Linked DNA regions of Saccharomyces cerevisiae S288C. The protein of the gene in region 3 purifies or fractionates together with the protein of the main gene of each other region. This does not show direct contact. Each region holds a gene or a part of one and is shown on either strand. Other genes may lie near its edges.

The links.
Region 1: the proteins of KTR3 (region 3) and SVP26 purify together in Saccharomyces cerevisiae (affinity purification with western blotting; 5 studies listed by BioGRID). This does not show direct contact.
Region 2: the proteins of KTR3 (region 3) and ERV41 purify together in Saccharomyces cerevisiae (affinity purification with western blotting; 2 studies listed by BioGRID, with this or other methods). This does not show direct contact.

What each region holds. Positions count from the first base shown.
Region 1 is NC_001140.6:465,117-468,438, forward strand, and holds SVP26 (Svp26p), read left to right. Parts: upstream 1-2,111; coding exon 2,112-2,798; downstream 2,799-3,322. Other genes in the region: YHR180W (uncharacterized protein), read left to right, coding at 62-553; RGD3 (Rgd3p), read left to right, coding at 3,103-3,322. UniProt on the Saccharomyces cerevisiae protein: Plays a role in retention of a subset of membrane proteins in the early Golgi compartments. Facilitates endoplasmic reticulum to Golgi transport of mannosyltransferases MNN2 and MNN5.
Region 2 is NC_001145.3:138,451-141,989, forward strand, and holds ERV41 (Erv41p), read right to left. Parts: upstream 1,765-3,539; coding exon 1,734-1,764; intron 1,641-1,733; coding exon 613-1,640; downstream 1-612. Other genes in the region: ITT1 (RBR-type E3 ubiquitin transferase), read left to right, coding at 1-494; SMA2 (Sma2p), read right to left, coding at 1,974-3,083. UniProt on the Saccharomyces cerevisiae protein: Constituent of COPII-coated endoplasmic reticulum-derived transport vesicles. Required for efficient transport of a subset of secretory proteins to the Golgi. The C-terminal Ile-Leu motif is required for exit from the endoplasmic reticulum.
Region 3 is NC_001134.8:631,962-635,445, forward strand, and holds KTR3 (mannosyltransferase KTR3), read left to right. Parts: upstream 1-1,660; coding exon 1,661-2,875; downstream 2,876-3,484. Other genes in the region: LDH1 (triacylglycerol lipase), read right to left, coding at 293-1,420; FTH1 (Fth1p), read left to right, coding at 3,185-3,484. UniProt on the Saccharomyces cerevisiae protein: Possible glycosyltransferase that transfers an alpha-D-mannosyl residue from GDP-mannose into lipid-linked oligosaccharide, forming an alpha-(1->2)-D-mannosyl-D-mannose linkage.

The DNA.
Region 1 (3,322 bases), on a different chromosome or scaffold from region 3:
ACCAAACTTGCATCAAACCTCTAAAATTACTATTATATATTCAACTTATTTAACGTGCCCAATGGAAATGCACTGGATAACCCTCGTTGCATTTATTGCTACATTCTTCAACCTAGCTGCTACCTCGATCAACAATAGTTCCCTCCCTGATGTTGATCTTACTAATCCTTTGAGATTCTTCACTAACATTCCAGCAGGACTTAATTTTAATGAAGTCATTTTTCTCGAAAGAAACGGATTCTATCTTGGTGGAATAGACTCTCCCTCAATCTACCACTTAATAAATGGTACAGCTGTGTATTTTGGGGATGTCAGAGATAATATCATGCCGGGTACAGTTGGCACTACTAGGAATGTTACAGATGTCGACTATGGCTCCTTACTGACAGAGTATGGTTATGAAGCTAATACAGATTATGTCTCGCGTTGGATCGCCACTCATGTAGTAATCTCTCCATTGAATGCTACAGAGTTTTTCCAAACACCCGTGCCAGTACCAGTGCCAGTGCCGATAACAATACTGCACCAACAGGTGAACTCAAAACTACATTAGTCAGGACCCGTTCAGCCCGTTAATCGTGGGAATCTCTGTACTGAGGGTCAACTAGTGTATGCGACTGTGATTCAGATAATACCTTAAGCGTCGAAACCTCATACCCCCTCATCTGGCTCGGGAGCCAGTATACTATATATATATATATATATATATATATATATATATAAATTCCTAAAATACTCTCACACAGAAGCACAATAATGAGTGACGCAAATGCAATTTATGACTAATTCATCACCAAAGAGAAATATGCAGCGTTAACTCTCAATCTAAGAATATGTAACAGATTTTAATCTCACGAACTAGCGACTTTAATTGTTGTACCTTATTCCTTAGTAACGTTAGTAGTGTCTAATATTTTACTAGACGGTGCCACGATTTCAGAGATGTTAGATCAAAATTCCTTTCTTAAGAACAAGGATATGGCAAAGTATGGTAAACAAGACGTACAAGAGTGTTAAAGATAATGCATAGAACACGCTCAGTGTAAGCAAGATTAGTACAACTGCTGATCTGGAGCCAAGACAACAAATATCACATCCCGTTTGTCATGTTAAAGATAGCTTATCATAAGTTAGCTGAGACACTCAACCTCATATAAAACAAAAACTGATTATTTTGGTGAAATAATGAATCTTAAAGCTTGATAGTATTTGTATTGAATTACTACTCACAAACTATTTAAAACATCAAGCCAAATATATGCGGAGCACAGAGAAATATTTGTGAATTATATCTTTTGTTGGAAAGACAAGCAACTATCCTAGCGACATTAGGATTGCCAAGACATCCGGTTTTATTCAGACCCTTACATCAGCAGCAGCACGTTCCATCTTTTCAAACTTCCTGCCAAACATTTATGAAGACATGAAACTCTAAAATGTCATCTATTTATAGTAGTCATATTACTATTATATTATTACATGCGGTGTAAGAAGATGACATAGGATTGGGACACAGTCATCGAACTTAATGGACGCTGAAGTGCAAGGATTGATAATGTAATGGGATAATGAAACATATAAAACGGAATGAGGAATAATCCTAATATTATCATGTAGAAATATCGATTCCATTTTGAGGATTCCTATATCCTCTAGGAGAACTTCTAGCATATTCTATATACCTAATATTATTGTCTTTGTGAACAATGGATTCCCACAAATTATCTCAAAATTCACAAATATCTCATTCTCGCATTCCAACAGTTATGTTACTCATTCTATTCGTTTGTTATGTGTGTTTTATGAACGTTTGGGATGACGTATTGTCATACTGACGTATCTTATTTTGAGATACAACATAGTTGTATTTTTAGCCTCCTTAGCTTAGTGGTAGAGCGTTGCACTTGTAATGCAAAGGTCGCTAGTTCAATTCTGGCAGGTGGCATTATACCGGTATTATTTTTTTTCCCTTTGTTCTTATTTCTCTATCATTTATAACTTTATGATTTTTTAAAGGTTGAATGGTCAATGTGAAAATTAAAACTAAAAACATATAGTTGACAAGTGAGAAAAAGAGCAAAAGGGAGAAAAGAAATTGTTAGAATAAAACCATGCTGTTAGAATTGATTTCTTATGCAGGAACCGTTTCAGGGTTTCTTTTTTTAACACTTTCAATTGCATCGGGTTTATACTACATTAGTGAACTTGTTGAAGAACACACAGAACCCACAAGACGGTTTCTCACAAGGGCTATTTATGGTATAATATTAATATTAATTCTGCTACTGTTACTAGACGGTTTCCCGTTCAAACTTACACTTTTTTCCATTGCATGTTACATAGTATATTACCAAAACTTAAAAAGTTTCCCATTTATTTCGTTAACCAGCCCAACTTTCCTATTAAGCTGCGTATGTGTGGTCTTGAATCACTACTTCTGGTTCAAATATTTTAATGATACGGAAGTTCCCCCACAGTTCAAATTTGATCCAAATTATATACCACGCAGACGTGCTAGTTTCGCTGAAGTAGCCTCATTTTTTGGTATATGCGTTTGGTTCATACCATTTGCCTTATTTGTTTCTCTGTCAGCTGGTGATTATGTGCTACCAACGACTAGTGAGCAACATATGGCTAAGAAAAATGATGACATCACAACGAACAACCAGCCAAAATTTCGTAAAAGGGCTGTTGGGTTAGCTCGTGTAGTCATCAACTCGGTAAGGAAGTACATCTACTCTCTAGCCCGTGTATTCGGTTATGAGATAGAACCTGACTTTGATAGATTGGCTGTTTAGGATTGCCTTTTTTTTTAACATGTAGTTAGTTTTTCTTTATTTGAATATTCTAAATAAGAAATATGTGTAATGCTCTGCCAACTATTTTGCACAGGAAAGAAAAATCACCAATACAATACTACTATATTTTACCCAAGTTAATACGGGAAAGTATATTTTCTTTTCCATATTTTTCTTTTTTATTGACGTTTGCATTTTTTAGAGCAACTAGTAAACAAAAAACCAGTCAGGCCCAGTAGATTAAGTATTGTCATTACATAGACAAAGGCAAGAGAAAGAGAGCATTTTCTTTCGGTCTCTAGTTATGTCTGTTAAAGAGCATAACGAAGAAGATATTATTGGTGATGAATTACAGAATTCGAGGCAACTCTCCATTGATTGCGACTCAGTTAAAATTTCACTAAGGAACACATATTGGACCAAAGACTATACAACAGGTATCAAATTATTCATAAAACATATGAAGAGAGAAAATGATTTGCTGATTAAAGACATCAAATTTTACAATGATTTTGTCAACAAAT
Region 2 (3,539 bases), on a different chromosome or scaffold from region 3:
ATAGTTGGTGCACAAAAGAAGACCTCGATGATGCGATGATTCAGTGTCAAAAATGTCATTTTGTATTTTGCTTTGACTGCTTGCATGCCTGGCATGGTTACAACAATAAATGTGGCAAGAAAGTTTCGTTATCGACCGATATTATTGAGGAATATCTAGATGATACCGTTACTTCATATGAGAGAAAGCGGAAACTGGAGGCAAAATATGGGAGAAGAGTATTAGAACTTGAAGTCAATGATTACCTTGCTGAAAAAATGTTAGATTTAGCGATTAAAAAAGAGGGTTCGAATTTGCAGCGATGTCCAAAGTGTAAGGTAGTTGTAGAAAGAAGTGAAGGTTGCAATAAAATGAAATGCGAAGTATGCGGGACGCTGTTCTGTTTTATATGCGGAGTATTACTTTATCCTGAGGACCCTTATGAACATTTTAGAGAAGCATATTCAGGCTGTTATGGACGATTGTTTGAAGGTATGCCTGGCACAGAAACTTGAGTGCGATCGCTCTGCCTTCAGTCTCACACTTTTTCTTATAATCTATTGTCATGAAATTTATACAGATGAAAATGAAACGTTATCTTGGGTATACTGCATTCTCTTTTCTTTTACATATCTACCTATCTAAAATACCCTTAGTTTTATCATCTGGCTGATAACGCAAGGACCACTTAGGTCCCATGATGGTGATAAGAGCCATATCCAGTAGTGTGAAAATCCACGAAGCACAGTAGACCAAAAATGAGCAGATTGCCACTAATCTGACCAAAAACTGTATAAAGCTTAAACGAACATCAGAAACTACTATGGATAATGGTTCGAAATTGTATTTGAAGAAGATGCCCGGCATTTTATCACCTTTAGCAGCGACATCTTTGTACAAATAGCGGTAATCGTTAACAGAATATTGATTAGTATCCACTTCTGCCCCCAATTTCTTGAAAAGAGTGGGCACAACAGATGTGTAATAGACGTAAGTAGTTAAAGGTTCATCCTGATTAAACTGTGCAGTGTTATCCAATGGGTTATCAATATATGGATAGAAATCACCAAAAGAGAACTCATTAATAACATGATTAAATTTTAATTCTTCCAGTGGTGCTTTGCGTGAAGCCACGTAACCTAAACTCTTCGCTGTAATCTGCAATTCGCCACTAACTCTATTTACCGGAATGGACCCAAATACATGGCACCCATTGAATTCCGGAAGATGTGCCTTGTTAGGATCACTTTCATCAAAAAATGACCTAGTATCTAGTTTTTCTCTAAATTCTGCTGGGATAGCTTCCCCTAAGATTTCATCCAATTCCGGCGTAATAATTTCATTGATATCATTGACTTTTGTGTCATAAGGAATAAAGAATGGCATCTCTTCCAATTGCAATTCCTCTAATACAAGTTTCCGATCCATTGTTTGGTCTCTGACGTTGATTTGCAACCAATCACATTTCGTGTTGACGTATATATCCATATTAATTTGAACGGTATCTCTAACTTGACTGTCCACTACGTACTGCTGGTCAATATAACCACCGAAGTATTCACCAAACTCGGTCCATGCTATAAACAACAGAAACAGATATGTCAACAAAGATGTTAAGCCACCCTTGGTGGATTTCTTCTTGTACTGTTCTTCAGTTTTTGCTGTAAAGTTAAATTTCCATTGTTAGTGAAAAAGCAAAAGCAAAAATAAAATATGCTGAAGCGGGCTACTTCAGAAAAATCCATATAACATACGAAACGCATCAAATGTCTTCAATCCTGCCATTATATACTCCTGAAGTCTCTGCCTGTACGTTACAGCAAAAGCATTTTGGAGGAACGCTTTTCTCAGTAAGAATAGAACATTGATAATATCTTTTCAAAGCCTTGACCGAGCGGGAAAAAAGGACGTTATGCAAAAATACTTAATATACTGAAAGGCTGTGTATATGTTTACATATTTACTGTCATTTGAAAAAAAAGTTCTGTGGTGAATTACTTCTCCATCAAGTCTGGAGAAGGGGAGTTAGATGTGTCTTCTGTATACTTATCAGACTTTTTGGGCTTAGCTTTGTAATGATTTGCTGCAAGAAATGCGAGTACCAATAGGACCCACTGGATGGCATACCTGGCGAGCCCCATAATGAACCCACTTCCCACGTTTACTTTTAACAGTTCCCAGCCTGTAGTGTGTACAGCAGCGTTGTCAGATCCTACGTCTGTTACCTCTTCAGGTTCTAATGTTTTCAGTGCAATCAAATATACGATGTTACATAATATTGTCAATGTAGCAATAACAACTAATATTGAACTTGATGACTTCAAAAGCATAGGAAATAAGCGGTGTCGTTTCCCAACACTAAGTGCTCCCCCAAAGGCTGACACTACGCAGATACTGAGGAATCCGACTATTATTTCCAACACTGCAAAGTAAAAAACCATGCCGTTGAACATCATCAGTATAAATGCCAGGTTGACGCCTTTCAGATAGTTTTTTGTTGGTGACACGCCTTTTACATTTGGATCAGGACTGCCAATCAAAGCCTTTGATAGGGCATTTCCTGTGTGCTTGTCGTGTTTCAAAAAATCACGAATAGATGTCAATGCCAAACGGTAGGTCAATACGAGAGAGTCTCCGAATTTTTTGGTTTCATTCGATCGTGTAGTGGAAATGTTACCTAATTGAATCCCGACGTCTCTGACAAGTACTTCAAGTACGTCCATGCCATAATTCTCATTAGAGGTACAATAAACTTTGCTTTTATTACTCCGTTTACAAAATCCAAAATAATTGAGCTCAAAAACCTTATCAGGCTGAAATGTGTCCACCAAATTTTCATCCTCATACACACTTGGATCAGTGAATTCATTCGACCAACCCATGTCAATTGTCAGGTACGAAATCAATCGCAGAAATTCTCTTACACTTGCAATAAACTCATTTGCAGTACTGGATCCTCCAATCACAGTTATAGTAAACTGTGGAGCGCATAACCTAAGTCCCTTAGAGTTCGTACATGTTGTGGCTGGCAGGTAGAGGACAAATTGTGATAAACTTAAAATCAATAGAACACCCCACACAATCAGACGTTTAGGGAATAACATGCTCGCCCTTTTATATTATGACAGAAAGAATATATATATTCATATATAACATGCTTCTATTTATTAGTTTTATCTTTTAATTGATGGATGTGTCCATAGAATTTAAGTAAGTGCATGGTATGGAGTGTATAATGGTTTATAATTTCCCCTAAGATGACACAAAAAAATGTTCTCCCAAAAATTTACCAAGAAAAAAAATTAAGAATACTACACAATTGATGCTTGGGTTATTTTAAATATCCGGTACATTCTATTACAAATATGTTTGTACAATGTAAGCCCCTTCATAATGGTCAGTATTAAGATAAGGACTGCTATGGGGCATTTTTTGTCTTACTGGGTATCACAGGATAATAACTTGGCGCCAAATTAGAAAAGATATAAACCTCAAATATTTGAAATTCTTTGGTGACCTGTCTCATCGTTATATCAACAAATATTGCACCAACGAACACC
Region 3 (3,484 bases):
GCATACGTTCTGTTAATTTATTTGGCCAAATATTATTGATGTTTATTTTTTTCTTTTTTGCATAGCCTTTCTACATTTCATGGCTTTATTTATTTATATTTATTTTTCGTTTCCTATTTTTTTGCATACATAGACACTACCTTTGATTTTTGCTTGTAAGATGTACGATATAAAGTATACTATGAAAAATTTGAAAATATTGGTCTTAGTTACTTTTTCTGGTTTGTTTTATCAATTCATGTAGCAGTGTGCACGAAAATCTAGTTACGCAATGTGAAATCTAGAAAACCTTCTACAATTTGGAATTATCAATCACCTCTCGTTGAAAGTTTTCACACACCAATTCTGGACGGTCGAAGCATAAATTATGAGAACAGTCAGGTAAAATAATCACTTTACGAAGACATTCTTTATTTATAGTTTGTTTGTAAAATTCCAAATTTTCAATAGGAGCTATAGGATCTTTTTCAGCGCCAAATATTATAATTTTCTGTTTCATATCCGTTTGCGTCAATACACCATTGAATTTAACCCAATCAACAGTTTCCCATCCTAGTAAATAACCTATGATGGTTCTACTTTTGTTGCTTATGTTGTTTTTAAATTGCCAGAACTTCCTGTATTTCAACTTGACATCATCACCTTGTTGATAAAAATACTGCTTGATGCCGGAACTTTGTAGACCTTTTACCTGATCGAATTTGTTTCTATAAACGTCAAATAGCCATGGCAATTTAAACACACCATAGAGAGCCCACTGGATAATATGTTTATCCTTAGAAAGCTGCTCGATATGTGCTTTGGGGGGCGTCAACAAAACTAGCGTTTGTACCGCTTTTGTATCAGCCATGTGCTGCTCGTAAAGATGACATGCCAGAAAACAACCCATAGAATGCCCTACAAGCACTATCTTATGACCGTTAAATGGATTTACGTTATCATTATTCGGCACCGCTGTAGACCATTTTCTTAAGACGTCACATACAAGAACGAAAATAAGTTCCACCACTTTCAGCATGGGGTAGTCGCTCCATTCTGAACTATGACCAAAGCCGGGCAGATCTAACGTCAAAAATGCCTTTTGATCAGAGTCCACAAGCTCGAGTAAGGGTTCAAATTGTTCTAAGTTGCCAGCCAACCCAGGCACGAAGACGAAAACAGTATCACCCCGTATCCCTTTATCGCTCAAGTTGTGACACGTCCTTATTCTTGAATTTCGATCCGATAGTTGTACATTAAAAAACTCCTCATGTTCTGCGATAAACTTCAACCTAAAGTCCAAATCTACCTCTGGTTTGCGAATGTAAGCTACCAAATCAGCTGCATTTTCTGCATTTTGAACAATCTCTTCTAGCGTCTTTCCAGAAAGGGGCTCACAGGACCAACTTTTTGTTGCTTCTGCACGTTCTGCCATATTCATTACCAAGAGAAAAAGTTCTCGGTTTAAGGCTTTCTTCTAACGTTGAGTTACGATCCAAATGCGACTGTACCATCTTGGTAGTTCTTTATTAATGAACCCTTTAAAATTGCCGGGTTAAAAGAATGGCGCGTCCTCTTGAAACTTTTCGAAGAAAACAACGTAACTGATGGTTAAAATTTGCATAAAGAAGGTCAGGCCTCGTCTGCGGACAACAACACTATCAATATCCAGCGTGCAATTATGTCTGTGCACCACAAAAAGAAGCTAATGCCCAAATCGGCATTGCTGATTAGAAAATACCAAAAGGGAATCAGATCATCATTCATTGGGCTCATCATAGTGTTATCCTTTTTATTTTTCATGAGTGGCTCAAGGTCCCCAGAGGTACCAATAGCTCAGGGCACCAGTGTCAGTCGTGTAGCCAGTAAGGATTATTTGATGCCGTTTACTGACAAGTCACAAGGAGTAATCCATCCCGTGGACGATGGAAAGAAGGAAAAGGGTGTTATGGTCACATTGGCCAGGAATTCAGATTTATGGAACTTGGTAAAATCTATTAGACATGTTGAAGACAGGTTCAATAACAGATATCACTACGATTGGGTGTTCTTGAATGACCAACCATTTAGTGATGAGTTTAAACGTGTTACCAGTGCATTGGTTTCAGGCAAGGCAAAATATGGGACAATCCCAAAGGACCATTGGTCCATTCCATCTTGGATCGATACTGAAAAATTCGATGAGAAAAGGCTTGCAATGGGAAAATTGGATATTCCATATGGTAGTTCCGTGCCTTACCGTCACATGTGCCGTTTCCAGTCAGGGTTCATATGGAGACACCCACTACTGGAGGAGTACGAATGGTTTTGGAGAGTGGATACCGATATCACTTTATTCTGTGATATTCAGTATGACATATTCAAGTTTTTAAAAGTAAATAACAAGAAATATGGATTCATTCTTTCGGTAAGTGAATATGAGCGCACAATCCCAACCTTGTGGGAAACGACAAAGAAATTCATCAAGAAAAATCCTAAATTCTTACACAAAAATAACCTCATGAAATTCATTTCGAATGATGATGGTGACACTTATAATATGTGTCATTTCTGGACCAACTTCGAAATCGGCTCTTTAGACTTCTTCAGGTCCGATGCATACAGAGAATACTTTGATTACTTAGACAGTTCTGGTGGATTCTTCTACGAAAGATGGGGGGATGCGCCAGTGCACTCCATCGCTGCCTCTTTGTTCTTGGACAAGTCAGAAATCCATTTCTTTGACGGTCTTGGATTCCATCATCCAGATTTCACCTCTTGTCCTATCGAACAGAAGATTAGACTACAAAACAAGTGTATCTGCGAACCTAGCAAGGACGTCACCTGGACTCCTGACTACTTCTGTACTAGAAAGTACTTTTCAGCAGGAAATTACAAGCTTCCACCAGGAATTTAAAAACCAAACTACAAATAGCGCCTGCTCCGTCAAAACAGGTGCTAAAACGTCAACATGTATCTATCTATATACACATAATTCAATGTAGTAGCCACCTCACTTTATTCTAGTGCCTTCTTGGGTTCAAAAATGGGTGCGGTGCGGCCGGAGATGAAGAGAGAAAAGCAAAATTGTATCTAAACCAGCCTACAAAAACACAAACTTGATATTATAAAGAATCAAGCATCTTACTGAACTTTTGTCCTCTACAGAAAAGCGAAAAAACTCTAAGAATAGAGAACTAGAGTGGTGTTCATATTTCTAGTCACCATGGCGTTTGAGGATTATTTTTCTTTCCAGATATTCTTCATTTTCTTAAGGGAATCCTTAGAAATTGTTGTCATTGTTTCTATCCTGTTGACGATCGTCAAACAAGGTCTGTCTGTTGAGGACGACAGCCCGTTTGAAGGAAGTTCCTCTTCTGCTGGTCTTCCAAGTCCAAATACGAACACAAACGCAGATTCGACCACTGCCTTCTTACAAGCAGGGCCTTCAGACGGTAATGCTATTGGAACGTCCGCTACGGCTGCTAATAATAAATCGAGGCCGCTAAATGTGGAGGAAGAAGAA